Struthio camelus: one gene and its partners. Each later gene encodes a partner of the first gene's protein in a complex. Links are inferred from orthologs where the notes say so. Each region holds a gene or a part of one and is shown in the gene's direction. Other genes may lie near its edges. The genes, in order: KAT2B, RBM10, KIF11 and MYSM1.

Evidence for each region.
Region 2: KAT2B (region 1) and RBM10 share a complex: the UniProt entries of both Homo sapiens proteins name them as parts of the large chromatin remodeling complex. The link is inferred for Struthio camelus from reciprocal best matches to the Homo sapiens genes KAT2B and RBM10.
Region 3: KAT2B (region 1) and KIF11 share a complex: the UniProt entries of both Homo sapiens proteins name them as parts of the large chromatin remodeling complex. The link is inferred for Struthio camelus from reciprocal best matches to the Homo sapiens genes KAT2B and KIF11.
Region 4: KAT2B (region 1) and MYSM1 share a complex: the UniProt entries of both Homo sapiens proteins name them as parts of the large chromatin remodeling complex. The link is inferred for Struthio camelus from reciprocal best matches to the Homo sapiens genes KAT2B and MYSM1.

Annotation. Positions count from the first base shown.
Region 1 is NC_090943.1:42,675,713-42,683,697, forward strand, and holds the start of KAT2B (histone acetyltransferase KAT2B), read left to right. Parts: upstream 1-4,982; coding exon 4,983-5,204; intron 5,205-7,985. UniProt on the Homo sapiens protein: Functions as a histone acetyltransferase (HAT) to promote transcriptional activation. Has significant histone acetyltransferase activity with core histones (H3 and H4), and also with nucleosome core particles.
Region 2 is NC_090979.1:733,838-741,382, forward strand, and holds the start of RBM10 (RNA-binding protein 10), read left to right. Parts: upstream 1-4,532; 5' UTR 4,533-4,620; intron 4,621-6,141; 5' UTR 6,142-6,166; coding exon 6,167-6,183; intron 6,184-6,640; coding exon 6,641-6,791; intron 6,792-7,545. Other genes in the region: NDUFB11 (NADH dehydrogenase [ubiquinone] 1 beta subcomplex subunit 11, mitochondrial), read right to left, coding at 2,474-2,600, 3,172-3,302, 3,906-4,097. UniProt on the Homo sapiens protein: Binds to ssRNA containing the consensus sequence 5'-AGGUAA-3'. May be involved in post-transcriptional processing, most probably in mRNA splicing. Binds to RNA homopolymers, with a preference for poly(G) and poly(U) and little for poly(A).
Region 3 is NC_090948.1:18,993,119-19,000,895, forward strand, and holds the start of KIF11 (kinesin-like protein KIF11), read left to right. Parts: upstream 1-4,763; 5' UTR 4,764-4,841; coding exon 4,842-4,921; intron 4,922-7,777. UniProt on the Homo sapiens protein: Motor protein required for establishing a bipolar spindle and thus contributing to chromosome congression during mitosis. Required in non-mitotic cells for transport of secretory proteins from the Golgi complex to the cell surface.
Region 4 is NC_090949.1:34,090,986-34,098,106, reverse strand, and holds the start of MYSM1 (deubiquitinase MYSM1), read left to right. Parts: upstream 1-4,118; 5' UTR 4,119-4,191; coding exon 4,192-4,265; intron 4,266-5,711; exon of another isoform or gene 5,712-5,771; intron 5,772-6,026; coding exon 6,027-6,102; intron 6,103-6,357; coding exon 6,358-6,428; intron 6,429-7,121. Other genes in the region: CARD- and ANK-domain containing inflammasome adapter protein-like, read left to right, coding at 1-2,262. UniProt on the Homo sapiens protein: Metalloprotease with deubiquitinase activity that plays important regulator roles in hematopoietic stem cell function, blood cell production and immune response.

The DNA of each region.
Region 1 (7,985 bases):
ACTGACATAAATGGACTTGCTCTACGCAAGGCTGGGGTAGTTAAGAAAACCATTAATGCAGAGATAATCAGAGTACACTGAATGGGGTCCCAGAGAACTGCTGAGATCTCTACCACATAGTAAGCTGAGAAAACAGTAAGAAGAGAAAATGATGTTAGATAATGGAATACATAAAAAAGTATGGGAAGGCAGGTGAATGAAAAGTAAACAATATGTCTTATGTTTGCATTAAGCAATCTAGTGCTCTCCCTACCACAAAATGTGGTGTAAGCCTATGCAGCACCTGCAGATAATTAAATATCTTTAACAAGCAGCTTCTGAACCACACACACACACACACACACACACTTCATATTGTATTAGCAAAGGCAGTAATAATATCCTATGCTGCAGGAGCCCAGTATTTAGGTTTTTGCTTGGCTTTTGATAAGTCACAACTTAGACTGGAGTCAAGAAGAGTATGTGCTGTGTAAAAAGTGAATAAAAACTGCAGACTGCTTAATCACTAGCAAGAAGTTTTTGCTTCTTAAACAGACGTGAGTTTGTTTACACAATGACATTTTCTTCATTTTTTTCCCTCTGCTTTTGACTTACAAAAACTGGGTAATTGGGTTGTGAGGTTCCCTATGACAGTCAAAGGCTTAGTGGTAAGGTCTGCAATCCACATTATTAATTTCACATGTAAACTCTGTGGGAAGCTGACAAGATGCTAGAGAGTATAATGAACAAAACTTTTGTGCTGTTAATACTTCCAGTGATTCATAAAATATTGATAGCCTGAATGTGTAGTGGCCTCAAGGGAGGCCACTTAACCCACAAGGAATGTGCTAACGAAAGAATACAATAGGATTTTATACTTATAAATTCCCTGGAGGAGGGGGAAGCACTCTGCTTTTCACAATTGCATTGAAAGGCAAGGACAAAACCAGGTGGGAGCACGGGAGGAAAGTCTTGTCGTGAACAAAAGGAGAGTGAGACCAGTGGTTCATCACACTCGCTCCAAATAGGCCTGGGGTTGGGGGCGAGGGGGACAGATGCATCCCCAGCTGCACAGCTGGCTGCGAGGGCCCTCCCGGAGAGACAGCGTTCAGCATTAGGCAGCTATTAGTTGAATTATTATTCAACTTATGTGGCTGAGATCGGTCCCAAAAACCTCAAATGACAACTAAATAATACCTGGGTGTCAGGCACACCCTAAACCACATTTTAATTTCCTCTTTTGTAACTCGAGATGCCTCTTTTGTAACTGGATATCAAGAATACAGCCATCTGCTTTGCTGGAATAACTTGCATGCTTTTACGTTTAAGCTTGTCTAGAGTTCAGAGTGAATTTGGGCACTAAATGTGCTGTCCCCTGGAAGCACCAAAACCGAACATGAATCTCCTCAGGGCTATCAGCAGCTTGAGACAGGCCTGAGAGTCACAAGACCTGGAACATGTGTCTCATCCAGCTCCAGGCTTGCTTAAATTAACGTATATGAGTAGTCTTCCTGAAGTGGTGGGGCTACTTACCTGAGTTTGCAAGCTAAGTAGCACAATTAGGAAGTAGGCAGCTGTACTTAGCTCCTTCAATGGCTTGCTAAAAGCCAGTTTCAGAATAAGCTGGACTTGTGCAAGCCCATTGACGTGCCCTGAAGGACAGAAACTAAAAAATGTGGCAAGGTTTTTCAGATAATGCTTTGAGTTTAATTTTAATTTAATATTCTCATATTGAATATTTAATGGTGAAAATAAGCACTGGAGTGATTCTGTGCTCAGACTGAGTCATAAATTATAATTGAAATACTTTCAAAATTAGTCAACAGATAAAGTCAGCTTAGATATGAAACTCAGAATGACATGTAGAGTCATATGTCAAAACAGATTTTTTTTTCTGCTTCCCTAATAGAGTGTAATTTGTCATAGCCAAATTATATTCACCAAAGCCATCACTTGTGAACATGGCCCAAGTTATACCCCAGTGTTTCCAGCAACCAAACTATCTTTTCCTTCCTTATTCTTGCCAAAATATTGAACGTAACATTTTAGCTGTCACTGGAACAGTTTAAGGCAAGGTCATGTTAAGCTTTTTTTTTTTTTAAAACTTAATATTTTAGAACAAATGATAACAATAGATTTAAATGAGACTTACAGTTTAAAAAACCAAAAAGGCAAGCTTACCTAACAGCAGTTAAAGAGTGATTTCTTGTTAAGTTGTTCCTTTTTGCAATAGTAGGCAGTTGTTCTGCGTTTGTAGTGAAATCGGTGTTTATAAATGTTACTATAGTAACTGTATCCTTAGCCACAGGCTGGTAGATTTATTGTTCTGATTATCTAGTGAGCAGCAAGGTAAAAAGGAAAAAAAAAAAAAAAAAAGACTGTCAGACATGTTGTAAGAGAGCCACAATCTCACAGGAGGAGATGGCAAAAACTGCAGTAAAAATATTTTTCCCTTCATACTTACCTGCATCCTACTGTATGCCATGCAACAGCCTTTTTTCCACTAGACCCTCATAAACAAACAATGAAATGCAAGCAGAGATCCAAAGTACCAGGCATGTAACAAAAGTCAGTATCAGCTTCATAATGACTTTCATCCTTATTTTATTTCAGTGGAAGTAACAATTTCTCAGGCTTTTAGGACCTCGAAAAACAAGGTGAAAGAATCAGGCTGAAAGAAGGTTTTCTGCCTAGGCCGAGGTCCTGTGAACACTTGCACTCGTAGTTTCATACATAAACACACACTGGGCGGTCGTAAGTGGCGCTGGAACTAGGTGTGCAAAAACAGTAAATGTATTTTAAGAATTGAAATGTATAATTTGTTTCTGTGTGGATGCAAAGTTGATACTGGATTAGATAACATTAGTTTATCATTTAGAGGAGAAGCTAAAACATTTGCCAGCTTTGATGGTTTTCTTTTTTTTTTATTTAAAAAAGATGTTAGGAGACTGCCCGTCAAGGCCATAGCTCCCAGCAAAGCTGGAAGACAATGGCCAGCCATGTTAAGTGGCACACGGAGAGGAATTTGTTGTTACAGATGGGACTATTCACTTCACTTGCAACTGTAGCAGAGCAGTGGGAAAGCTGAAAGCGAAACCAAGCCATTTCATTGCCAAGTCTGGGAGGAAAGTGGAAGAGCGATTGTCATAAAGAAATGCAAGCAAATACATTTAGAAAGTTATTCTGATGACCTCAGGTGGATGTTATCATGCAGCATAATATTTGTTATCCTCAAATATTAGTTGAACACTCTCAAAGGAAAAAAAAATAAAGGTATAATTTAAGAGTGAGGGGTTTTTTTTATTATTATTCGCTCCGAAGGCAGGGTCTGACGTGCCGTCGGCGGCTTCCCACCGCCCCTCCGGGAAGCCGGGCGGGCAGTGCCTCCTCCACCTTAACGGTCTGTCTTAAAACACTGCGGATGGCAGCAGCCATCTTAAGGGTCACTGTCACCCCCCCCGCCCCCGCGAGCCACATCCCTGCTCGGGGATCCCTCCCCGGCGCCGGCCGCGGCGGGGGAGCCCCCCGGCAGCGCCGCCGCTGCCCGCTCCGCGCCGCTCCGCCCGAGGGCGGCCCAGAGGCTTTGCGGCACTTCCCAGGGCGCGGGGGGAGGCGCGCAGGGCTCCGCGCAGGGCTCCGGCCCTCGGGAGCGCGGCACCGACCAGCTCGGACCCGCCTCCCCGCTCGTCACCTTTTGTTCCTTTTAAAACCTCAGCCCCCCCCCCCCCCCCAAAAAAAAGCCCACCCCTCCTCCTCCTTTGCAAATAAAAACGTTGAAACCTTTCAATCTGAAAGGGAACTGGATGCGTCCTTCTGATTTTTTTCGCACTGAATGAAGATGTCAGCTCACCGTTGAGTCTCAGTGGTTGAAAATATCCAGGGAGAAAACGGGGCTGAGGGAAGGGGAGATCAGAGGGAAAATGCGTCCTCAGTCCTCCCCCTGCTCTTTACTCCCCACCTTGCAGAAGCCTCTCATCCTTTGCGCTTGTGTAAGCCAGCAAGGCCCTGCGTTGCTGCGAGAGCTCTTTCATGCACTGGGATTCCCCTCAACGTTAATATTACTGCTTCTGGTTCACACATCAAAGCCCTGTAAAACACACACAAGCGCGGGCAGCCTTAGCTCCAACCTTTTAAACCGTGGTACTGCGTTAGCGAATTGTCATTTGTGGTTTCTCACCGTTCAACCGCGTTTTTACATATGTGCAGCAGGACATAACTTCCTCAGAACTGAAAGGCTTATTTCCAGGCACAGAGTGCAGTTGCTGTGGCAGAATCATTTACTTAATTTGAGCTTCCAATTAAAAGGTAGCTACTTAAAGACATAGGTTGACCTGCTGTTAACACCTGTTCCTGGACAAACAAGAAGCCGCGACGTGACTCCCCCCCGGAACTGAGCAGAGTCTTTATAGTCTCACATCTTTAAAGCCAAGGAGTATTTTTATGTTCTTTGACTTCGAAATAATCTTTAAAAGCAAACAAATAAGAAACCGGAACGGTTTAAAAACAGCTGAGAACTGCAGGGTGTGGAAACGCAATAGTTAAGTCGACAAACTAGTGGCACCGTGAGGGGAAAAACGGGGCTTTTAAAGGACTTGAAGCCAAGGGGGGCCGAAGAGTGCGGCTTCTTCCGCGCCTCTCGGCGGCCCCTTTCCTCCTCCGGTTCCCGGCCGCGCAAGGCCCGCACCGGCGGGGTCCCCCGCGCGCAGCCGAAGCCGCCGCCGCCTTACGCGGGGGCGCACGGCCGCCGCCCGCCCATGCCGGCGCGCGCGCTCCCCCGCGGCTCGGCGCTGCGCTGCAGGGCGGGAGGCGGGGGCCGGCTCCGCGCTCCCCCCGCCCGGCGGGGCAGGAGCCGCCCGCGGAGCGGCCAGTCCCCTCCCTCCCCGGGGGGAGCAGCCGGCGGCGGCGGCGAAGGGGAGGGTCTAGCGCTCGGCGCACCGCGCCGGCAGAGCCGCACGGGCGGGCGGCTCCCGCCGCGCCGCGCCGCTCCGCGCCGCTCCGCGGGGATGGCGGAGCCTAGCGGCGCCGGGGCCGCGGCGGCGGGCGGTGGCGGGCCGCAGCAGGGCTCGCCGGCCGCCGGCGGGGTGGCCGCCGGGGGGCCGGCCCGCACCGCCGCCGAGAGCCCCGGGGGCCCCGGCTCGGCGCGCACCGCCGGCAAAAAGGCGCAGCTGCGCGCCGCTCCGCGGGCCAAGAAGCTGGAGAAGCTGGGCGTCTACTCCGCTTGCAAGGTACGGCGCCGGCCGCTGGCGCCCACCCGCCCACGGAGGGTGGGGATTGAGCCGGCTGGGGAGGGAAGGGAGGGCGGCAGGCGGTGGGGAAGGGCCGGGCGGGGGAGGCGGCGGCGGCCCAGCTGCAGCTCCGCGCTGCCGGGAACCGCGGAAGTGGTGAGGCTGGTGGTTCCTCCTCCGCCCGCAGCCTTCCAGCTAGGAGCGGCAAGAATAAGCCCGAAAGACGCCGAAAACAAGCCCTCGCGTGCAGCACCTCCCTCCTCCTCCTCCTCCTCCTCCCCCTGCCCCTGTCGATACGGGCAGTAGCGGACGTGCCCGTCCCGCTGCCTCCGCCCCAGCCCGGCCCCCGCCGGGGTCGCTCGCACTTGCACCGCTGGGTTGACGGCGCCGCGGCAGCTGCTCGCCGCGTAAACACCGCGCGGGGCCGTTGCGCCCCCTCGCCCCGGGGGAGGGGGAGGCGCGGGGCTGGGCCGGCCTCGCGTCCCGGCGGGGGCTGCCGCCATCCAAATGTCGCTGCTCCGAGCTGGCAGCGTCGCCAGCAGCTCTGGCAGAGGAGCAACGAGGCGCGGCCTCTCCTCTTGGGAAAGTTGTCCCCACTGGTCACGTCGGTGCGGGCACGGAGGCCTCTGTCGTCTCCCGCACTGGGCAGGCCTTCTCCGCTCACCTTAGTGACACTGCCCTGGGTTTCCCTCCCTGCATCTTTCCCTCTGCCTGGAATTTTCTTCCGGAGGGGAGAAGCAGGACTTGACTGTTGTTGGAGATTGAGAGAGCCTGGTCAGAGTTGCAGCCTTGCAGTCTTTGGAGGTCTGTGACCTCCAAACTGGTGTTGTCACCTGTGCACGTGCGGCTGGACTGCACTGCACACGGTGCAGGGCCAGTGCCCTCTAAGCATGGGCTGTCACCTGCGTTACTGCTTTCGTGACTATTCTTGGATGCGTGATGAGTCTGACACGTTCAGGATGGCAGTAGTGTCATGAAATCTTCTAGTAATGCTTTTGGCATAGCAAATAAGTGAGCAGTTTGTGAGAAAGTGTATTATTTACTTTCTTTGCTCCTTTACATCAGAACCCTCAGAAGGGCAAATGTTAAGTGAAAGGCCAACCTAAATGCTTAAATACGTGAGGAAGCGTTATAATATGGCTCTGTAGTCCTGTCTGGTGATGGGAAGTGCTTTAACTGTACTCTGAAAGCATGTTGCAATACTGTAAGTCATGTGAGGTCAAGTCAAGGAAACCACGCACACACTTCAATTTCTTAGCTGTTTACAAACATGCAGGAATCTCCTCTCGGGCTTTGGCATGTATGTGTGACGTTGCAAGAGACCACCACTGTTGGGAACTTAACAGAGCAGTTAGTGTGTTTGAAACCTGAGGTCCCCATAGAAGGATGGGTGACATGGTTCAAAACTTTCTGGTAGTGATTCCCCTCTGCCCCCCCCGGTATTTTAATGTTACCAAATTTTGCTATGCTGTTAAACAATGTTAGACAGGGAGGATGTGAGGTTTTCATGAGCTGTTGAGTGGTGTGTGTGTGTGTTTATGATTCTACCTTTTCCTTCCCTAGTCTGATCTTTTTTCTTTCCTTTATGGATCTCCAGGGGTGGGCACAGAGCTGTGGCAGCTTGTGTTGCAGGTGCTGTGTGTGTGTGGTAGTGTTACCAGCCTTCAGCTCCTGTCCTTCTGCGAGAAGTCAGGGCCGTGTCACTGCTGGCACTGCAGTGAGCTGAGAGTGCGCGACCTGTGGCTAGGGACACCCTGGAGCCTCTTTGTCCTTCCCTGCCAGGAGCCTGGCACAACCACAGAACTAAACACTACCCTGGGTTCAGATTAAAATGCAAAAGCAACCTTTGCTACCTCGCTTTTCTTCAGTAATTTAATAGCAGGCAGCGTTCTTTCAGGTTGCAAAACATAAGCAAGTAGACAAACAGGAAGCTTCTTGTAAACTAATCAAGCGGTTTTTCCTATGGGATAAAGGGGGAAGGATGGAGGAGAGCGGAAGAATGTGTTATTTTTCCTTTTGAACAACTGGCAGGTGCTCCACAACTACAGTACTTGGCTTGTAACGTTAGTGGTTTGCAAGAAGCTGTAGCAGTGCAGGGAATAACTTTGAACTTTCTTACTTTGGGCTGAAACTGATTCTATTTATTTTGTGCGTTTCTGTTTGTGTGTGAGAGAGAGACAGAAATCAAACACTCGCACCGCCTCCAATCTCAAAATAATGTAACTTATGTGTTTATTCAAGGGGCAGCCATGCGTGAGTCTTGTGTAAATATACAAAGAGCTGTTCAGGTTGCAGTGGAGAAACTATGCAGTGCCATCCTTAATGGTGGTGTCCTTCTCCCGCGGGAAACAGGAGAGGAAAACGCTGCTGCTTCAGCACATAAAGTTTAGTAGAAACTTAACCTCTGAGACGCTGAGAGGAGCAGAGGCAGAGAGCGTGTTCGTTAGGGCTGAAGAGAAGCAGCGCCAGGAGATGGGAAGAGGGCTGACACTGAGCGGCAGGTGGCTGGGCCTCGCTGGTGGCAGCAGCAATGTGCTGGGCCAGAGATAAGACTGTCCCGAGCAGGACCGCCGTGTGAGCGGGCTGCTCTGGCCCCAGGAGGGAACGAGCCCCCTTGTCACTCTAGCGATCCCTCTGCTTCAGCCTTTGGGAAGTGCAGGCAAAAACTGCAGGCAGAGACATCCTCGATGTGCATATAAACTCAGCAGAGCTAGACTGAGCATTTTGGAATAAGTTTAGGGAGCTGCTGCCCCAGCCTAGGACTATGGAAGAGTTTTGTTG
Region 2 (7,545 bases), on another chromosome or scaffold:
TAGGGGGTCATGGGGGCCATGGGGGGCTATAGGGGCCTATAAGGGTTGTGGGGCCCCATAGGGGGCCTATAGGGTCTGGGGGGGCTAGAGGGGCCTATAGGGGTTGTGGGGCCCCATAGGGGCCCTGGGGGCCTATAGGAGCTGGGGGGGCTATAGGGAGTCATAGGGGCTATAGGGGTTTTGGGGTCTCATAGGGGCCATATGAGCCTATAGGGGCTTTAGGGTCCGGGGGAGCTATAGGGGATGGGGAAATATAGAGGATTGTGAGAACTTACAAGGCCTGATCTGTTGGGCAGACCTTATAGGTGCTACAGGTAGTATATAAACTGTAACAGTTTATGAAGTCCTATATGAATATACTAACTATGGTATGCACAAGTGCTATAGGTGCTTTGGGGGCCATTGAGGCTATAGGGGCTGTGGGGGACTCTAGGGGCTGGGGGGCCTATAGGGGCCCTGGGGGGGGGCTTTAGGGGCCACGGGGGCTATAGGGGCTGCAGGCACTATGGGAACTACAGAGGCCTCTGAGGGCTGGGGGGGCCCTATAGGGGCTGGGGTGGGCTGCGGGGGGCACTGGGGACCGTGGGGAGCTATGGCAGCTATAGGAGCTGCAGAGCCTATAGGGTCCAGTGAGGCTTTGCCAATGCAAGTGGCATAAAGACTGTAGGTGCCTATAGAAACTTCAGACATATGGTACCTCTGGAAGCAAAGGTACCTATAGGGGCTGTAGGTGCTGCAAGAGCTGCAGTGATTCATCGCAACGAGGCGGCTGGGAAGCTGTGTGGGACCTATAGGGGCTGCAGGGACCTATAGGGGTTTGAAGGACTGTGGGGTCCACAGAGGCCGTGGGGGCCGTAGCGGCTACGGGGGGTTGTGGGGCTGTGCCTATAGGGGGTGCGGGAACTATGGGGGGCTATAGGGGCTGCAAGGGGCCTATAGGGTCTGCGAGGGACAACGGGGGGCTATAGGGGCTGCGGGAACTATGGGGGGCCATAGGGGGCTATAGAGGCTGCGAGGGGCCTATGGGGGCTGCGGGAACTATGGGGGGCCATAGGGGGCTATAGGGGCTGCAAGGGGCCTATAGGGGCTGCGGGGGCCAACGGGGGACTATAGGGGCTGCGGGAACTATGGGGGGCCATAGGGGGGGCTGTGAGGGGCCTATAGGGGCTGCGGGAACTATGGGGGGCCATAGGGGGCTATAGGGGCTGCGAGGGGCCTATAGGGGCTGCGGGAACTATGGGGGGCCATAGGGGGCTATAGGGGCTGCGAGGGGCCTATAGGGGCTGCGGGAACTATGGGGGGCCATAGGGGGCTATAGGGGCTGCAAGGGGCCTATAGGGGCTGCGGGGGCCAACGGGGGACTATAGGGGCTGCGGGAACTATGGGGGGCCATAGGGGGCTATAGAGGCTGCGAGGGGCCTATAGGGGCTGCAGGAACTATGGGGGGCCATAGGGGGCTATAGGGCTGCGAGGGGCCTATAGGGGCTGCGGGAACTATGGGGGGCCATAGGGGGCTATAGGGGCTGCGAGGGGCCTATAGGGGCTGCGGGAACTATGGGGGCCATAGGGGGCTATAGGGGCTGCGAGGCACTTATGGGGGCTATAGGGGGCTCTGGGGCGGTTTAGGGGACCGCAGTGGCCGGGGAAGGGGCTATAGGAGCCTATAGGGGGGGCTATAAGGGGCTATAGAGGGGCCGGGGCGGCCCCCGGCGGCGGCTCTAGGACCCGGCGGGCTCCGGGGGAAAAAAAGCGGCCGCGGTGACGTCACCGCGCGCCTCGCCGCGGGGGCTGCTGGGAGCTGTAGTCCGCGCCGCGCGGGGGCCGCCGGGAAGGGGCGGGCGGACCCGGCCCGGCAGCGGCTCAGGCAGCCGCCTTCTGGCGGGAGGGGCCCAGGCGTCCGGGCACCCTCCCCCCCCACCACCCCTAAAGGGGCCCAGGCGTCCGGGTGAACCCCAAAAGGGGCCCAGGCATCCGGGTGACCCTCCAAGGGGCCCAGGCGTCCGGGGACCCCCAAAACGGGGGCCCAGGCATCCGGGTGACCTTCCCAAAAGGGGCCCAGGCGTCCGGGTGACCCCTAAGAGGGACCCAGGCATCCGGGTGAACCCCCCCCAAGAGGGACCCAGGCATCCGGGTGAACCCCCCCCAAGAGGGACCCAGGTGTCCGGGTGAACCCCCCCCCAAGAGGGACCCAGGTGTCCGGGTGAACCCCCCACCAGGGGCCCAGGCATCTGGTGAACCCCCCGCCCCCAACCAGGGGCCCAGGCATCCGGGCATTCCTTCCCCTCTTCCCCCCCCCCCCCAAAAAAGAAGTGGGCCCAGGCGTCCGGGCAGCGTCTCAAAGCGGGCCCAGGCGTCCGGGCGTTTATTATTCCTCTTCCCCTCTCCAAAACGCAGGAACGGGCCCAGGCGTCCGGGCCGTTATCAACGGTCCTAGGCGGTCGGTCGTAGCGCCGAAGGGGCCCAGGCGTCCGGGTCAGTCGCCGGCGGGGGGCAGGGGCAGCCGCGCCGGGTCGTAGTAGTCGGGCGTCACCAGCGGGAGCCCCTGGGCCTCGCGCGCCCGGATCTGCCGCTCGGCCTCCCGCCGCGCCCACTGCCGCAGCCTGCCGGGGGTGGGGGGGGGGCCCAGGCGTCCGGGTGACCCTCCGAGGGGTCCAGGCGTCCGGGTGACCCCCACCGCCCAAAAGGGACCCAAGCGTCTGGGTGACCCCCCCCCCAAAAGGGACCCAGGCGTCCGGAAACCCCACAAAGGGGCCCAGGCGTCCGGGTGAGCCCTCTCAAAAGGGGCCCAGGTGTCCGGGTGAGCCTCCAAGGGGCCCAGGCGTCCGGGGGAACCCCCCCCCCAAAAGGGACCCAGGTCTCCCAGTGAACCTCTGAGGGGCCCAGGCGTCCGGGTGAGCCCTCCCAAAAGGGGCCCAGGCATCCGGGTGAACCTCCAAGGGGCCCAGGCGTCCGGGTGAACCCCCTCCGAAAGGCGCCCATGCCAAAAGGGGACCCAGGCGTCCCGGGCGCCCACGTCAAAAGGGGGCCCAGGCGTCCGGGAACTACCCCCAGAGGGGCCCAGGCGTCTAGGTGCCCCCAAAAAGGGGCCCAGGCGCCCATCCCAAAAGGGGGCCCAGGCGTCCGGGGGAACCCCCCCCCCCAAGGGGGCCCAGGCGTCCGGGCGCCGCTCACCCGTAGTCGGGCAGGTAGCGCAGGAAGGTGGCGCCCAGCACCAGGGCCACGGAGACGCCGGCCACGAAAGCCGCCCGCATGTTGCGCGCGTCGGCCGCCGGCTCCTCGGCGAAGCCGTGCGTCTCGGGGTGCTGCGGCCGCCCGGACGCCTGGGTCCCTGCTCCGGCGCCTCCCGGGGGCGGGGGGGGCCCAGGCGTCCGGGCAGAGCAAGAGAACCCCCCCCCCCGCCAAAACTCCCTTAGCTCCGCCCCCCACCCGGCACCGCAGCCAATCAGCTGCGCCACACCTCCCCCTTCTCCCTTTCCCCCAGCCTGCTTATTAAATGAATGAAGGAGTTAAGCCCCGCCCCTCCTGCTGTCAATCAGCCCTCATAGGACCTTGATACACCCTGGCCCCGCCCCCCGCCATTCAGGCCCCGTAGAACGCCCACCAAGCCCCGCCCCCGCCATTCAGGCCCCTTAGAACGCCCACCAAGCCCCGCCCCCGCCAGTCAGGCCCCGTAGAACGCCCACCAAGCCCCGCCCCCGCCATTCAGGCCCCGTAGAACGCCCACCAAGCCCCGCCCCCCGCCATTCAGGCCCCTTAGAACGCCCACCAAGCCCCGCCCCCGGCCCCGCCCCCTACCCTTGAGGCGCCTCAGAACGCTGCAAGCCCCGCCCCAGACCACGCCCCCTGCCAGGCCCCGCCCCCGAGCCGGGACTTGGGGGCGGGGGGAAGGACACAGCCGGGCTGACCTTGCGCTGCACCGCCCACATCCCGTCCTCCTCCTCGGCGCCGTGGTGAGGGCCGGCGGCGGCGCCGAGCGGGGCGGCCGCGGGGCTGACGGTGCCCGCCGCCGCCGAGCGCTGCCGCCTCCCGCTTCTCCCGGCCGCCATCCCGGCGCCGGCCGCCCGCAGCGCCCGCCCGCAGCCAGCCAGCGCCGCCATGACGCTGCCCGCCGGAAGCGGAAACCGCGCAGCACTCGTAGCTCCTTCCCCACCCCCTCTCGAGGGCTCCGCCAATCAGCGCCGGCGGAGCGGGGCGGGGGGGCGGGCCGGCCGCGGGGCCGCCCAATCAGACGGCAGCGGGGCTGGGCGCAGCGCGCTCCTCACCCCGCCCGCCGCGGCTCCCTCCAGCTCCCGCCTCTGGGGCGTCTCGGCCAATCAGCGCCGGCGGAGCGGGGCGGGGGGGCGGGCCGGCCGCGGGGCTGCCCAATCAGACGGCAGCGGGGCGGGGAGGGGGCGCGGCGCGCTCCTCACCCCGCCCGCCGCGGCCCCGCCCTCCCGGGGCGCCTCGGCCAATCGGGGCGGGCGCGCGCCGCGGCGCGGGCCAATGGGGGGAGCGGGCGGGAGGGAGGAGGGAGGGAGGAAGAAGGAGGGGGGGGGCCGGCCGCCATTTTGCGGGCCGGGAGCTCGGCGGAGGCGGCGGCGGGTGCGGGCGGTGCCGGTGTCGCGGGCGCAGCGCGGACAGGTCGGGCCGGCGGGGGCCTCTTCGGGGAGAGGGGCGGGGCCTCCCGGGGAAGGGGGCGGGGCCTCCCCGGGAGGGGGCGGGGCTCACCGGGAGCGGCGGCGCTGTTTGTCTCCCCCCCCCCAACACTCTTCGCCGCCGCCGCGCGCCCGGCGCGGGAAGGTGATTGACGGGAGGGAGGGGCGGGGCGGCGCCGCCCGATTGGCTGGCGGTGGGGAGCGGGGCGGGGCCCGCGCGGGTTTGATTGACAGGGGACGGGGGCGCCGGATTGGCTCGGGGGGAGGGGAGGGGCGGGGCTTGACGGGGCGGGAGCGGCCTGCGGTGCCCGCGAGGGGCGGGACTTGTATGCTAATTGGGGGGCGGGGCCTCGAGGAGTGGGCGGGGCTCCCACTCAGGAGGTTCCCCCACCTTCCCACAATGCCTTGGGGCAGGTCCCAGGCCCCCTCTCTCCCCTATTGACCCCCAGTTCTCTTCCAGTTGCCCCCCAGTCCATCCCAGTTATCCCCAGTTGCTCCCTTTTTCCCTCCCAGTTGCCCCCCAGTCCATCCCAGTTATCCCCAGTTGCTCCCTTTTTCCCTCCCAGTTGCCCCCCAGTCCATCCCAGTTATCCCCAGTTGCCCCCAGTCCATCCCAGTTATCCCTAGTTGCTCCCAGTCCATCCAAGTGCCCCAAGTTGCCCCCAGTCCCTCCCAGTTGCCCCCCAGTCCATCCCAGTTATCCCCAGTTGCCCCCAGTTCTCTTCCAGGTGCCCCCCAGTCCATCCCAGTTATCTGCAGTTGCCCCTTTTCCCCTTGTAGTTGCCCCCAGTTGCCCCCAGTCCCTCCCAGTTGCCCCCAGTCCATCCCATTTATCCCCAATTGCCCCTTTTTCCCTTCTAGTTGTCCCCAGTCCATCCCAGTTGCCCCCCAGTCCATCCCAGTTATCCCCAGTTGCCCCTTTTTCCCTCCTAGTTGCCCCCAGTCCATCGCAGTTATCCCCAGTTGCCCCCCAGTCCCTCCCAGTTGCCCCCCAGTCCATCCCAGTTATCCCTAGTTGCCCCCAGTCCATCCCAGTTGCCCCCCAGTCCATCCCAGTGCCCACATTTGCCCCCCCAACGCATCTCAGTTGCCCCCCAGTTGCAGCCTGGTCCTCTCTAGTTGCCTCCCAGTCTGCCCAGTGCCCCCATTAACCCCCTAGTCCCTCCCACTGCCCCCCCCAGTTGCCACTAAGTCTCTCCCACTTGCCCCCCAGTCTGCCCAGTGCCTCTGTTGCCCCCCAGTACATCCCAGTCGCCCCCCAGACACACCCAGTGCCCCCCGTTTTCCCTCCCAGTTGCCTCCCAATCCACCCAGTGCCCCCCGTTGGCCCCCCAGCGCATCCCAGTTGCCCTCCCCGACCCTCCCAGCGTGCCCCAGTCTCTTCCGCGGCCCCCCCAGTCCATCCCAGTTGCCTCTCCCGGTGCCCTTGACGCCCCCTAGTTCCCCCCCAGTTGCCCCCCAGTCTCTCCCAGTTACCCCCATCTCCCCCCTCGTCCCCCCCCCCCAGGTGCCAGCGGGGTGACGCCAGCGCCATGGAGTACGAGCGAAGGTAGGGGGGGACCCAAAAAGGGGGGGGACCCAAAAAGGGGGGGGGGACACCAAAGGGGACAGGACGTGGGGCACGGGGCGGGGGGGAACCCAAAAGAGGGGACGCAGAAGGGTCGAGGGGGACCCAAAAGCGGGGGGAACCCCGTAGCGGGGGCTAGGGGGGACCCAAAACGGGGGACGCACCGGGGGGGGACCCAAAATGGAGGCCACAGAGGGGGGGGAACCCAAAAGGGGCGACATGGGGGGGGGACCGAAAAGTGGGGGGAACCCTATAGCCGGGGCTAGGGGGGACCCAAAATGGGGGACGCAGAGGGGGGAGACAAAATGGAGGCTGGAGCAGGCCATGGGGGACCGCAAAAGGCGTGACGCCGGGAGGCCATGATGGACCTGGGGGTTTCGGGGGGGGGGGCGCCCGGAGGGTTTGGTCCCCCCCCCCCCGACGCTCCGGTCGCCCCCAGGGGGGGCCGGGGCGACCGGACGGGGCGCTACGGGGGGGCGCCCGAAGCGTCGCCGTCGGCGGCCATGACGGGCCGGGCCCAGCGGGACCACGACTACGGCGACATGGACTACCGGGGCTACGGGGGCGCCGCCCCCGAGGGGCCCCCCCAGGTGGGTCCGGACGCCGGGGCCCCTCGCGCTCGGGGCGGGGTGGGGGGGAGGGGGAGGCCTGGGGCCCCTTTGGGGGGGGGGGTCACCCGGACGCCTGGGCCCCTTGTGGGGGAGGTCACCCGGACGCCTGGGTCCGTCGGGGGGGGTCACCCGGACGCCTGGGCCCCTCATGGGGGGTCACCTGGACACCTGGGCCCTTTGTGGGAGGTTCCCGGCCGCCTGGGTCCGTCAGGGGGGGTCACCCGGACGCCTGGGCCCTTTGTGGGGGGGGGGTCCCGGACACCTGGGTCCTTTTGAGGGGACATCTGGACGCCTGGGCCCCTCTTGGGGGGGGTCCCGGACACCTGAGTCCCTTTTAGGGGTCACCCGGACGCCTGGGCCCCTTGTGGGGGGTCACCCGGATGCCTGGGCCCCTCTTGGGGGGGGTCCCGGACACCTGAGTCCCTTTTAGGGCTCACCCGGACGCCTGGGCCCCTTGTGGGGGGGGTCACCCGGACGCCTGGGCCCTTTGGGGGGGGTTCCTGGACACCTGGGTCCCTTGGGGGGGTCACCCGGACGCCTGGGCCCCTCTTAGGGGGTCACCTGGGCCCCTCATGGGGGGTCACCTGGACGCCTGGGCCCTTTGTGGGAGGTTCCCGGACGCCTGGGTCCTTCGGGGGGGGGTCACCCGGACGCCTGGGTCCTTCGGGGGGGGTCACCCGGACGCCTGGGCCCTTTGTGGGGGGGGGTCACCCGGACGCCTGGGCCCTTTGTG
Region 3 (7,777 bases), on another chromosome or scaffold:
CATCTTGTCTTGCTTTAAGATTGAAATATGAAAGGGAAAAAAATACTGTTCTCTGCTCTTTGTGTGATATGTACAGAAATACAGCCATTGAGAGAGATAACGAGCTCAGTAAATGGGATGATGCTATATAATTCCCACTCCCAAGTGGCTTGTCTGTTGACTTCTCTCAGTTTAGAAATAATGAATTAATTTAAATCAAAAGATAATGCAAAACCAACTTCCTCTTGACTTCAGTGGGTTCTACCTAATCTATGTTTGCAATTTTCCCCTGGTGTCTTGTCCTTTTATGTACAGGATGTCATCCGCTTGCGTGCCTTCTTTGAAAATGAGTAAGTGCATAGTGATTAGCTTTACTCTGAGGTAATTACACACATGTGTATACACCCTTGATTGTGGAGTTAATTTTTTATTATGGTGACTATAACCATAACAAGTTGTAAAAGACTTAACTTCCACATCTGTGATGGACAGCGATCCTGCACGCACACACAGACGCACGCAAGCACACCCACACATCCTTCATTCCGTGTATTCTTGCTGGTTACTTGAAACCAGTTCTACTTTTATTCATGTTGCATAGAGATCGAATCCTTAATTTTTAACAATGAGGTAGTTACTTTATTTTGTTACATCTTTAATTTTTAACAGTGAAATAAGTGTGATGTTACTGCAACTGAGGGAAAACCCTGTCTTCTAACTAGCCAAAAAGATACCAGGACTGCGTGTTTTAAGTCCTTACTGGTTTAACTTTCTGTATGCTTTCTACATGTAAATCAGGTGCAGTTCATCTCCCCTCTAATGTAAATACACAATCTGTGAATTTTTCCTATATCACTGAGAATATTAAGTAGGATAGTATCAAAATTAACTCTTACAACACTGAATACAAGGACATTGACTTGCTGATAATTCTTCACCTTTAATGGCACGTGGAGACCCTTTTCTAGCCCATTTCAGCTCATCTACTGTGTACCATGTTGGTAATCAGAACAGGTTAATACCTGTTTAATTACTAAGCCTTGAAGAAATCTTAACCACAGTTATAATTTGTATTAATTATATGTCTCCATTATTATAACCCTTCCTAATTCTTTGCTAATCCTGTTCAGGGTCAATAATTCCACTATTTGTCAGGCTTCCACACCTATCGTTATCCAGGTCATCCTGTTTAAATCCTAGGAAAATGCTAATTTTGTTGAAACATTCATTGTTTATTAATGTCATTATAATACACTGAGTTCTTTTTCTTTAAGCTTTGCTAAATAATTGTCCTTTTTGATCAATAAATGTGATTAGTAGTCTCTACAGAAATCATAGTGATGCTTGTGTGTGTTATAATTCATTTTGCTATAATGTTATGTCTTTCTCTAAAAAAAATAAAATATATTTGTCACAGTTGGTGTACATGTATTCTTGGGAGGTCATTTTCCCAATCACTGTTAAGACTCTCTTAAGTGTTCTGGTTTCTCTTTTTTTTCATTTTTAATTTATTTTTATGTGTTGTGAAATGCCAGTTCCCTGTTACTCAATTTGTATTTATAGCATATCAATATCTTTAGGCTCAGCCTAGACTAAGAAATAGTTCTGTCTATGTTGTAAATTGACTTTGTAAAATACATTTACACCAGTTAAACTATGTATGCATTTTTTAAGCTATCTTGATTACCAGAATTATCAGTTTTCCTCTTAACACAGCTATGGCAAAGGTAGCTATGGGCCAAATTCAACCCACAACAATTAAATAGATTACTGTTGTTTAAATGCAAGTTTCAATGATCTCTTACTTTCTTATGTAATGTGTTTTTGAGAGACGTGCTTATATTCTGAGCCAAATTCTGGCATACTTTCATACTGGGAAAGAACAAACAAGCAGAAATGGGGAAAAAAGACTTGTCTTTCAGCGGCTGCCGCCTTCTCTATGGTCCCTGGGAAGGAGTATGGAGTAAAAGGTACAGATTCAGTATGTGTGCATACCTGCATTTGACTACTTCGCTTGAGTAGTGGCTCGTACACAACTGTCTGTGCAAATAGTTTGTACACTTAGAACATACAGAATACATAAAGCGTGCAAAAATAATGGTGGTCTTATTTGCAGTTACTGTTGCTTTTGTATTATATTCATTTTTCTGTTTGGTTAAATCTTTCCGTAACCGAGACAAAATGTGTTATTGTGACTTTAGTGTTTCATTAGAGAAGAAAATAGTATGCCTTAATAATGCCAACCCATCAAACTCATTTAGGTTGGAAAGTCAAGCACTAAGAATGTTAGAAATTATAGTTTCCTTAGTTTTCTATGTATAGAAATTATGATAGAGTTTTGTTTCGAGCTTTTGCTATAGAATGAAAGCCTTATTCATTGGCTTGAGGCCAGATGATTCAGAATTGAAGCTGAAGAGCAATAATTAATTTGGCAGCTACTAACTTTCAAGTATCTGTCTTTACAAAGTAATTTTCTTTTTATGTAACATATTTGTATGCTATATATACTTTAGGATTGTATCGCTTTCAGTGGCATGCAAGCAGTAAGGTCTTATAGGAAGCCAACAGAAAATACTGGCTCAGATGGCCTGGAAATGAAAATTGTTATTAATCATTGTAAAGATTTCATATCTCTGGTGTCTCATCATCAGCCCATTTTTAGAGTGTCAGGCAAGTGTCTAGAATGTTAATGGTATCTGCATCAATTTCCATCAGAGCAGACCAAGTAAGACTTCATGTCCTCTTCTATAAAAATGTGTATATTTCTCAGATATTGTTTGTTGTACCTAGCATAAGACTGGCTCTGACATTGCTTTAACTTTTGAGATAAATGGTAGAGGAGCATAATGTGATGCTGCTTCATGTCACTGTCAGAAAAATTACTGCAAGCTTTCTAGGTCAGGATTCATTAAATATTACCTTTAAGAACTCATAGAGCAGTAGCATGTTTCAAAGTCATGGGTAAAGGGAACAGCCATCTTAAAAAAGAAGAGAAGGGGCTAGGGTGGCCTGAGAAATACAGACAGGTAATCTTAATTTCAGCAACCGGAAAGGCCCTAGAACAAAAACAAAACCCAAACCAACGCTGTAATACTCCAGACCATAACAAGTAGGTGACGGTATGACCATCTGTAGGAGCCAGCATGGATTTGTTGAGAACAAACCATGTCAAACCATTTTTTCCCTCTTTCTCTAAAATCTGCTTCATCCCTCCTACCCACAAGACCTGTTATCCTGTTATAGGTCTCTACTTAACAAAGCTTTTAACATTGTCCCAAATGAGACTCTCATAAGGAAGCTAGGGTGACATAGTTGAGTTGAGACTGCTAGTAAGAGGATGCTAGGAGAGTGGTTCACGTAATCTGTTTCAAAGTGAAAAGCATCTATGTAATGCCTCTATGGTGCTTTGTCCTAAGCCTATAACTATTCATTTTCATTAGCGAGTCAGAAAATTAAATAGAATTTTCTCACTAATTATGCAGACCATACCGGGCTATTGAGAAGTGTGGAACTCAAGGGGATGTTGATGAATTGGACGGGAGACTGGAGAACAGTCTGAATTAAAGCATACATAATTCGAAGATGGCCCAATGCAAAATTCTTGAGGTAGGAACAATGAAGTGGAGTTGCAGGATAGAAAACGCCTGGGTTGGCAGCTCTGCTGCAAATGTGTGGGGAATTACAGTGGGCCAGAGCTGATTATGAGTCAACAGCAGAATGCTATTGTGAAAAAGGTGAATGTTGTGCCTGGCTATGTAAATAGAGGTACGATCCTTAAAACGGGGAAAGTAATTCTGCCACTCTTCCTGGCATCTACTAAGTATCTTTCTCGAATTTTGAGCATGATATTTAAAAAATATACGTGGACTCACAGAAGAGCCTGTGGGGAGAGGAAAAGAGTGACTAGAAGTCCTGAGCTGTGCTGGAAGATGAAATGAATCGATTCATGTAATCCAGGAAAAAAAGGTAATTGAGGTGAGAAGTTTTGATGTCTTCAAATATTTCAATAACGGCACAGGAGGCGACAATGAGTTTCTCTGCTGCCCCCTGGTGAGCATAGACAGCAGTGATGGTAAAAATGGCTGCACAGAAGGCTCGAGTCAGACGTTAGGAAAAACTTTATAGCGGTGAGGACAGCGGGGGCTGGCAGGTTGCTTGGAGAAGCTGCGCGCGTTCGTCAACGCTGGACGCTTGAGCGCTACTTTAGACACGCCTCTGTCAGTAATAAAGCAAATACGATCCAGCTCGTCTTGGAGCACAGCATCCATCTTGTCTTGAATCCAAAAACCCGTCCAGTCTAGTCTAATTTTCTTACTATTTTGTCTGTTCTGTTGAGATTCGTACACTGCTGGCTGCGGGATTAGCACGGCGGGACTGCCAGAACAGATCTCAGCTCCTTAGCCGGACAGGAGGGCTGCGGAGAGCGGCGGCGCCGCCGCGCCGGACGCTGCGTGGGCGACCCGCCCAACCGTCGCTCGCGAGCCGCGGCGCCTGTGCTGGACACGTAACACGCACCCGCCGGGTCTGGCCGAGAACTACAACCCCCAGCATGCAGTGCGCTCTGGGGCGCTCCCGTCGTGCGTCGGCACGCAAGCGCTGAGCCCTTACGTCATTAGCGTCTGCGCCTCGTCCTGAAATTTCAAACTTAGTCCCATGGTGCCCCGCGGGCTCGCGCTGATTGGCCGGGCCCGGGGGGCGGTGCGTGGTTCAAAGCCGGCGGCGGAGCGCGCGCCCCCGGCTGGAGCGCGGCGCGCGGCGGCGGTTGGCCCGGGCCCGAGGCGCGGCGAGGGCGACGCGGGGCGGCTGGCGCTTCGCCTCTCTTCCCCCTCTCGTCCCCCAGCAGGTCCGCGCTGAGGCCCGACATGGCTTCCCTGAGCTTCCAGGGCGGCGGCGCGAAGAAGGAGGAGAAGGGCAAGAACATCCAGGTGGTGGTGCGGTGCAGGTAGGCGCGGCGTACCCGCCCCCCCCCCCCCCCGGCGCCGCGAGAGCGGCCGTTCGCGGCGGTTTGGAGGTCGGCCCCTGCCCCGCTGCCGCAGCGACTGGTGGGGAGCCGTTCAGGTCCTTCCTTTTAAGACCCTCTGGGAACTGGGGCTGACGCTCCTCCTTGTCGAGGCGAGAGGCGCCTCCTGCGCTTTTGCTCGGGCACCCCTGGGCCCTCCTCGGTGGGCCGAGGCCGCCGTCCCGGCTTAACCTGGTCTGTGACAGAGGGCTGACAGAGCGCCGCCCGTGCGGGGTAGCAAGGTGCTCTGCAGAGGTACTATTCAACGGCTCCGAGGAAAGAGAACCGTATACTGTCTCTCTGAGTACATAATTATTAACGGGCGTGTCGTTTACACCAACGTCACTCTTTAATGCGCCTTAAAATATGTGTCCTAGGCATTAATTGCATGCGTTGTGACGGACCCGTGTAGCCAGTAGAGATCAGTGACATCCCTTCAAAATTAAGGTTGCTATACGGAAGAGGTTTTTTTTTTCATAGCATAAGAAGGCAAAATGTGTCGATTTGCTAACCTGATTCAACTACACAGCCAGTATGAAGTTATACGGGAAGATAAAGTTGAGCTGGAAAAGAGGAAATATGATGAAGATGAAATATCATCTTCTAAGCTTGTATGAGAAGGCACTACAATTTAACAACCACTTTTCAGTCTTTTGTTTAACTTCAGCGATGCTAATTTCCTGAGTTTAGACAAAAAGTTATGGAGTCAACTGTTAATGTAATAATGACTGACTGCTGTTTATCTTGGTTGATGAGATGAATTTGATTATCAGCATGAGAAAGCTGGTGTACCATAAAATTAGATTCTTGTAATTTTGAGGTGACTTGGAGGGCTGATTCACTGAAGTTAGAACTTAAATGCTCTTAACACGTTAACAGTATTACAGTTAATTTAAAAAAAAAAAATGTTGAGAGTCAGGTTCAAAAATGCCTTCAGAAGTTTTCTTGAGCCAGAACTGCAAATACTAGCTTACGTGTTAGTATTAATGCATTTTGCAGTCATTACATCCTTTTGCTTGGAAGCTCTACTTTTCCAAATGCACAATGAAATTAGAAATTATAAGATATGTTGCGAGAATAAAAGTGAAAATAGTTAACAAGCTGCTGAAACAAATGTTATAGGATTGGTGAAGAAGTTGATTTAAATCAAGAATTTGTAAAAGAATAAAGTTTTTGAAGCAATTGCATTTGAAGCATTGTCAAGAGCAGTCATTTTTCAACTGATTGGGACTTGGTTTGTTCTCGAGTATCCTCACTGAGTATCAGTGTATGTTTTAAATACATTGCTCAATATGACAGTCACACCAGGCTTGCTAGGGGTGGTAGTGCTTTTGTTGAGATTAATACCTTAAAATGAGTTTTATGTCAAGACCTTCATGTAGCCTCTGCACCCTAAAAATCTCTCGTCTCTCATTGCTCTTGCCTCTTGTAGAGCTGCTCTTTTTTCAATACTGCTTTAAATGTGTTTGCTTCCAAAACCTGATCTGTGTGAGCTTATCAAAAACCTTCTCAAGCAGGAACTCACTGTGCTTCAGTAAGAACCTGAATTTGGAAACTCAAAATGTATGTGTGCTAATGTATGTATGTGTGCTAATGTATGTTAATATGCTTTGATTGGTTTGCCTAGTGGGATGAACATGTGATCAAATGTTATCATGGCATTCCAAGTTGCTGCTTGCCTAGTGACACACAGTAACTACCTGCATGTATGCTCTATCTTAACTGAGTTGTCACTGTAATCCTACTGTTATGCATCGTATGGTAGGTCTCCCGGTCTTGACTGGTTCACTGCTGCATCATTCATTACAGAGCAGACTATATTCGTTGTTCAGCCTCCTCCTCTTATAAAAGTCACAAAACTGAAGCTGTAACTTGCCCTTGTGAACAAGATTGTTATGATCATCAACTGTCACCATAGTGACCTGACTGCTGTCACCATAGTGACCTGACTGCCTTCACTGTTGCTGTCAGTCTTGCATAAAAGTGTCTAGTGGTTTATGTAGAATCTGACACTTCAGCCTCAATGCTGTATTGAGGAGGAAATGTTAGCCACAAAAGTCAGGAAACTCAAAATGCCGCATACTTGTGGCCTCTTCTGATGATTTAAAGGTGCAGCATCTGAAATGCCTCTGCTGTCAAGATATTTTAAAGAAGGTTTTAAAGAATCTATTTTCGAGTTGGCTATCCTTTTACAGGTAGCGTAGACAGTCGGTGCAGTAACACTGTTGAATGAGTAATAAACTAACACTTCATCCTGCTAGTTTCATCCTGTGGTCATTTTTTTGACTTTTTGGAGGAAATTATTACTGATGCTTCTTTAAGGAAAACTGTATGCAGCAGATTTGGCTTTTTAAAAGGTGATTTAAATGATGAAACAAAATGCTGACCCTTAAGTTTCTAAATGTTTTGTTGCATTTCTATTAACCTGTGCTTACAACTCGATCTGTGTAAAAAGTTGGGTAGACTTCCCCCACCTAACTTACATGTTTTGTCTGTCCTAGGAAATTCTAGTTACGAACTCTTGAGTTAGCGTTATAAAGGTTCTGGCAGGGTTTTCTGCTGTTCCACTGTTAGTAAATTCTGTTAGCGTGTCTGGTACTTTAGAAGGGATGAAAGACAAGTTGTCCACTCCTGTGTCATCAGTGTGAGATGTAGGCTTTCTTGCTCATGCAAATGGAAAAGAAAAAGGAATTTTTAGTGAATTAGTTTGATTCACCATTGCCTTTCCTTCCATGTGCAAGTTTTTCTTTTTTTGAAGGTACTTATTTATGCTACTGTTTGATGTGTTTAATCTCTGTC
Region 4 (7,121 bases), on another chromosome or scaffold:
GCGCATTCAACCAGCCTGTTTACAAATCCATATGCAATTGAAGTCCTAAGAACTAAAAAAGAAGAGCTAGTAGAAGGCATAAATAATCCAGACAATCTTCTGAACTGGCTTATAGACAATGGCATTTTTACACCAGAAAAAAAGATAGTCATGACTTTCTATAGGACACGAAAAGAAAAGAACTCTCGAGTTTTAGATATACTAATTTCTCATGGTGAACGAGCCTGCAGGCTCTTTTTTTACCCATGTTTAAAACAAGTGGAGCCAAAACTTTATAACAAGATAAGAAAATATGTCAGCGAAATAAACGAAAGTATTGGGGATGCTAGAAGACAATTGGTAGGGTATTTAACTGAAAAAGATAAGGCTTGGCTTGAAAATCGCAGTGAACAGCACCAAGAAAAAAGAGAGCGTCCTAGAAGAAGAAAGCAAGAATGGTCTATTAAGAAGAAAGGAAAAGAAACTGAACTTTCAGCAGCAGCAAAACCTAAGAAAGATCATTCTGATATTGGCATCTTTGATGCAGCAGCTAAAGGCTACCTTTCTGAGTTAGAGAAAACATTGAAAGATAATGATATTAATGCACTAAACTCTGCAAGTGAAACACTCCTGCACATTGCAGCTGCTAATGGACATCTAACAGTAATGGAATATTTGATTAGCAAAGGTGTTAGGCGAGATGTGAAGGATAAGAAAGGAAGAACAGCACTGCACAGGGCTGCTGAGAAAGGCCACGATGATGCAGTGAAAGTGCTTCTCCAATGTGGCGCTTGTATGTATAGTTTGGACAGAGAAGGCAAGACACCACTTCATTTGGCTGCACAGAATAACCACGGTCACATATTGAAGACGCTCCTGAAAGAAGAGGCAAGAAGCTACAGGAACCAGCACAACTTTTTGCACATGGCAGCTCTTAAAGATGAGAGCATTCTGGCAAAAACGCTTTTAAAGAATGGCGCCTCTGTTGATGGAAAGGATGAAAGAGGACAGACAGCTCTCAGTTATGCTGTCTCTCAGGGGTTTGAAAACACTGCAAAAGTACTGCTAGAGGCTGGAGCCAGTGTTGATTCCAAAATGACTGAAAGAGCCTGCAACAGCAACCACCCATCCATTTTCAAAACACTGCTAGACTATTGTAAAGGCTTGTCCTCTGACATAATGGAGTTAGCTCTTTTCAAAGCTGTACAGAAAAATCTGCATGGTATTGTAGCAGCTTTAGTTGACAGAGGCACAGATATAAACGCCTACAATGAAATGCAGTATACTCCTTTACTCATGGCATGTGAAACAGGCAAAGCTGAATCTGCAGAAGTTCTAATTGAAAAGGGTGCTAACTTTGAAATAAAGACTCCTGCTTCAGACACAGCTTTGCACCTGGCAGCTCAAGCTGGGGCCGCTTCCATCACAAATCTACTTTTACACAAAGGGATGGAAGCTAACGTTATGAACCAGGCAGGTGAAACTCCACTCCATGTTGCTGCCCTTCATAATAAAGGAGCACTAGTTAGCATTTTAGTTGATGCTGGGGCCAAAATTAATGCCGTCACTAAAGAGTTAGTTACTCCCCTGCATATTGCGAGTCAAAGAGGTAACACTGATGTTGCTCAACAGCTGTTGCACCACAAAGCCAATGTTCATGTTAAGGATAAGCAGTCAAAATCACCTTTACATCTTGCTTCTGAAAGGGGAGATAACACAATGGTAGAGCTGCTTTTGAATGCTAATGCTGACCCCAATGCACAAGACAAAGAAAAAAAGACTCCCCTGCACACTGCAGCTATGAGAGGACATCTCAGTAGCATTAAAGTTCTGTTAGCCAAAAAAGGCAGATCCGGAGTTAAGGACATGGATGGATGTACTCCAATGCACTATGCAACCATCAAAGGAAATGCAGAGATTGTAAAAATTCTTCTGACCTCAGGGAAAAATAAAAATATTGATGAAAGAAATATTTGGAGAAAGACTGCACTACATATCGCAGCAGAATATGGACACAGTGACTTGATAAATCTATTACTGAGCCAAGGGGCAGCTATTAATGCCTTAGACAGCAGCAAGGATACTCCATTGCATTGTGCCTGCAAGGCTGGTCATTTGAATGCTGTAAGTTCCCTTGTAAACTGGTCACAAGGAGAAAAAGCAAACTTACAAGCTGCTAATAGTCTAAAGAAGACTCCACTGCAAGTAGCAGAAATTAACAAAACAGAAAATCAGGCTCAAATTGTAACACTTTTGAAAAAGAAAATGTTAATAACAAAATGAGCATATAGAGCAAAAACTCCTAAATACATTTAAATGCAAAATTATCTTTTAAATTATTATTTAATGTAATTTGGATAAGGCTGCTGTCCAGTATCATTGAGTAAGGACTGGTAGAATTACGTTAGTAATCAAAGGTGGCCAAGGAAAAAAGGATCTTAAACATGCTGTTATTCTAGGTATTGATTCTCTCTTGCTTTTCTCACAAATCTCATACTTGGAACCTATTTGAAGCATCCATCTTAAACACACTGTGTGTGACCCCCTCTAGTATAATCAAGACTTTTTAAAAAAGCGATAGAAATTCACTTTTCATATTTCTGTGAATAGTAGCCGGTACGGATAGCTTAGGTAAAAGGTTTGTTAACATCACATTTGTACGAAGCCACCTATTACAAATAAGCACATATCTATATCCACAAGCATACAGAGCACAGAAACGTTGGACTTGGTAACACCGCAGTTAGTTTCAGACCTAACTGCAGGGTGCTGCCAAAAGGGATTGATCATGCCCTCCCTTGCAATCCAGTCATGCATGCCCACTCCCTTTGTTTTGGCACTACAGCTCTAGGTTTGATGGGTGAGCTGATCTAACTCATCCCACAGTTATAACCAAACAAAGTGGAGAAGCATGGCAGTAAATGGCTGAACAGCACTGCCTTTTTTGATGCTAATGAAATATTAGTTTGGTTTATGCTATTACAGCATCACTCTCTGGGCTAGCTGGGGAGCAGAAGCCACCCACTGACACATTTACCAGATCCCCCTCCCCAGCAAATCCTACCATAAGGTTCAGTATAAACCAACCAGTGGAGTGGCGCAGGTCCACAGCTGTGCTAACTCAATTATGCTGACTTCAGGACTCATAATACACAGACATTCAAAATTGGATTGGCCCCTCTTCAGACACCCCTGTATTATACGCTATCACATGGCATTTGCATATCGTAGGACTAAAAATATTAGTTTTCAGTCCATCTTTCATTACATCCTTTGCTTACTTTTACATTTTTCAGTAGGGATAATGAAAAAAAAAATTGTTGTATTTGCTGTTTATTAGTTTCACTTTCAAATCAGTTCCAGCACATAGATGAAACGTTCAGAATAAAAAGGTTGAAAAATACAGTTTATTAGTTCAAAACAAAGTATTTGCATTGCAATTTTTTTAAAATAGAAACACTTTCTTAAGTCGAGGGAAGCTTCTCAGTGGCCATATTCTTCAACGTGATAATCGACCCCCCCACAGCTCTTTGCTTTTCCCTTCATCACGATCGGATACCCAATTACCATGAAGGGCAAAATGATTCTTGTGAAATCAAACATCGGCCCGAAAGCGCACGAGAAGAAATCTGTGATTTTTATAGCCATGTTACAACGCTTTAGAAGTAGCCTGTACAAGGCCCTGCTACCGGCATCCTCCACTGACACCAAAATAACGCCTCTCTGGGGTCAGCGCATAGCAAACACCTCTAAGGGAACCGCTTTTATTCCCGGCCGCTCTCACACTGCCGAAGGCCAACGGTCGCCAACGGCCTCCAACGGCCGCCGGCGCGAGAGGGCTCGCTGAGGGGAGAGCGGCGAAGGCGGGAAGGGCGCGAGGCGCCCGGGCCTGCCGGGCCCCCCTCCGGCCTCGCGCTGCCGGCTCCCCTCCGCTGCCGGAGATCCGCCCCGTTTCCCCGTCGTTTTCGCCTGGAAACCGCCCGCCAGCCCCCGCCTTGCCCTCAGCTGCCCCCTCCCCGCTCCTGCGCGCCCCGCCTACCCCAGCACCATCTCTCCGCCTCCGCCCTAGCGTCTCCTCAGGGCGCCGCGCCGGTCGGCCGGCTGGCCGGGCTGCGCATGCGCCGCGCCGTGCCGCGCTCCGCGCATGCTCAGCCGCGCTGGGCGGTGCCGCCGCCGCCGCCGCTTCTCGCGAGAGCTGGCGGGGCCGGCGCCATGGCGGCCGCGGAGGAGCCGGAGGTGGACATCGAAGGGGACGCGGCGGCCGCACCCGGCGAGACGCCGCCCGGGTGAGTGAGGCTGTCGCCGCCGTGGGCAGCGGGCAGCCTCCCCCCCCCACGCCCCGTGGGGGTAGCCCGCCTCCGGGGGCAGCTGCTGGCCGCGCGGGGACGGCCGGCGCTGCCGGGGTCCGCCCTGAGGGGGCGGTGAGGGGCGAGCGCGGCCTGCGGAGCCGCCGGTGAAACCAGCGGTGTGGTGGGGCCGGGGGGGGGGCATCGCGGCGCCCCCGGCAGGGCGGGTCGGCTGCCGCCCGGGGGCAGTACGCGAGGGGGCGGCCTCGGCCGTGGAGGGCCGAAGCCTGGCGAGGAGACACGGGGGCCCCTCGGGGAGGAGGAGGTGGGGGCAGGACTGGGGTTTGCGGAAATCATTACGGTGGGGTGAATGCACAGCTGTCCTCGCCAAATCCCACAGTGCTTGAGCCGGGACTGTCAGACTTGGTCAGACTTTTAGGAGACTCTTAAAACGTATAGATCCTCCCTCGTCCTCTCCAAAAAGAAGTACCACCGTGTTCTCTAACAGCAAACATCCAGAACCTAAAATCCACAGAAGCTGTCGCAGCGGATAGTCCCAGGCAGGTCCAAAAAAATGATTTGACAGATTCAGGCATGATAGATCCCTCAGCAGACACTGAAGTGAGTGGGTAGCAGTGCACTTATGTTGTTAATGTAGCGATTACGGATGCTGGGAGAAGATGAGGGGAACGGAGCAGGGAAAGTAGTCGGACTCGCAAGCTCTCCTGAAGCAGCACCTCCTCTTGCTGCTGCTGGGGACAAAACACTCAGCAAGACGCACTGTTGATCCCAACCCGTTTTTTTAATATGCTCTACAAGAAGCTGGAATTTATATTGGTTTCCTGCTGTAGGCAGGGATTTAATTCTTCCCTATAAAGAGGCATTTGACCTGGTGGGACAGAGCAGTTCAGAATAGTAATTAAATTATTTTTAGTAACATTGCAAGGGATATAGGGCTAACTACTCTTTAGAAAAGGCTGAATGTTCTCGAAGCAAAGATCTTGAAAACAGGTAATTATGTGAAGTGCTAAGGAGGTTTTTACACCGCAGTAAGGTAGTGGGAAGTTGATCCAATGACATTAATCAGTGCTAGATTTTTAAAGTAATAAGTAGTTATTTACCTAAAAAGATCAAGCATAATCTGGATGAAGTCAGTCAGAACATAAATAATTACATGCGACGGGATTTTATTGAGCCCTGTGTAAGTATCAGCCTTCTTCTGGAGGTAACAGCCCTTTCTCTGTAAAGGGGTCTTCTGATTTTACAGAGGGGGAAAATGCAGAAATGTTAAGTGGAGGTAGCACAAGTCAATGACAGTTTTAAGATTAAAGCTATAGTTCTCTAATTGTCCACAAAATTCTTGCCTCTTTCGTTTGTGTATGTGTTACGAGGTTTTTACAATGAGCTGGTTTCCTCCACTCTCACCTCCTGCTTTCATTCTTCCTAGATGAGGATTTTTACCATTCAGGGTTTTACTGGTATGTCATACAGTCTGCAGTGAGATAGGTGAGCTGTTGCTGCTGAGAGTCCTACTAAAGATCGTTTACTTGTGGTATTTTATGCTATGTCTTATGGAATATTATAAAAGAGTAACCTTACGTAACAGTCTGCAATATACAACTTTAATTTTAGAGTCTAATTCTGTCATTGCCTCTGTTAATAGTTACTTTATTTAGCTCCATATTTATTTTAATTCTGACAAAGCATCCAGTTTCTTTGAATATGTTTGTAATGTTTTGAACATTGGAATCTTTTCTTTAGAGATTATGAAAATACAGCTTCAAGCTTGCTGCAGGATCACTATCTTGATTCATCTTGGAGAACTGATAACAATCTCGTAAGTAATTTTTAAATGAATGGTTCTTCTAGCAAGGTGCTCACAGTCTCTGTTCTCTCCCTTCTCTTCCCTCCATGTGCGTGCTCTTTTAGATTATTAATCCTATTTTTCTACAGACGACTCAGGCTATAATTGCCTTTGCTTTAAAATAAGTATTTGTTGCTTACTTTTGGAAGCTATTATACATTAATTCTTGATGCTTGTATAACATCATGGCAGAACTGAAATATTGAAAAATATTTGTATTGTTTGCAGCCGTGGACGTTGGACAGCAGCATTAGTGAAGAAAATAGGGCTGTTATTGAGAAAATGTTGCTGGAAGAAGAGTATCCTTTTGTTGGTTTGCTTGTGTGTTTGTGTGCAGGACAACAGACACCTTTCTGTTTAAAAAGGAAGTAGAGAAATCTTCTACTTGTGAATGTAACTGAAGCTTTGGTATCTTGTAGGTAGCTTGCAGAAGTCAGGGAAGACACTTGCATTAAATTATCTAGCTACCTGCAGCTTCCTCTGACCCTCGTAAGTCTTTAGCTTCCTTACAGTGTATTGACAACAACCAGGTTTAGTCACAGATACAAAGTTTAGGCATGGGAAACCGAATCTTCTTAGGTAGTCAGTCAGTGGAGAGAGAAAGAGACATTAAGGGGTGGAGCAATTCTGAGGGGAAGGGACAGGCTAAACTGCTGAATTTGGGTGCCTGATGTAGGTGACGTGAGTGCTCCTTTGTACTTTTTCTCCATCTTTGTTGCCTAATCTGTCTTAATCGTATCCAAATTGTGAGGTTTGCTTAATGGTTTTAAAGTCCATGTCAGTCTTCAAACAATAAGGTTGATTTAAAATCTTAGAATATTTTATTTTGAGAATATTTTTTTTCTGTGTTGTATTGTGTGATACTATTGCAACTACACTTACAACTATTACTATTTCAGCTATTACAACTACTATTACAAATAAGGGTCAAACTCTTCTCTTTATCTTTTTTTTGCACTTAATGTTCACAGTATCTCTGTCTCTTGACAAAA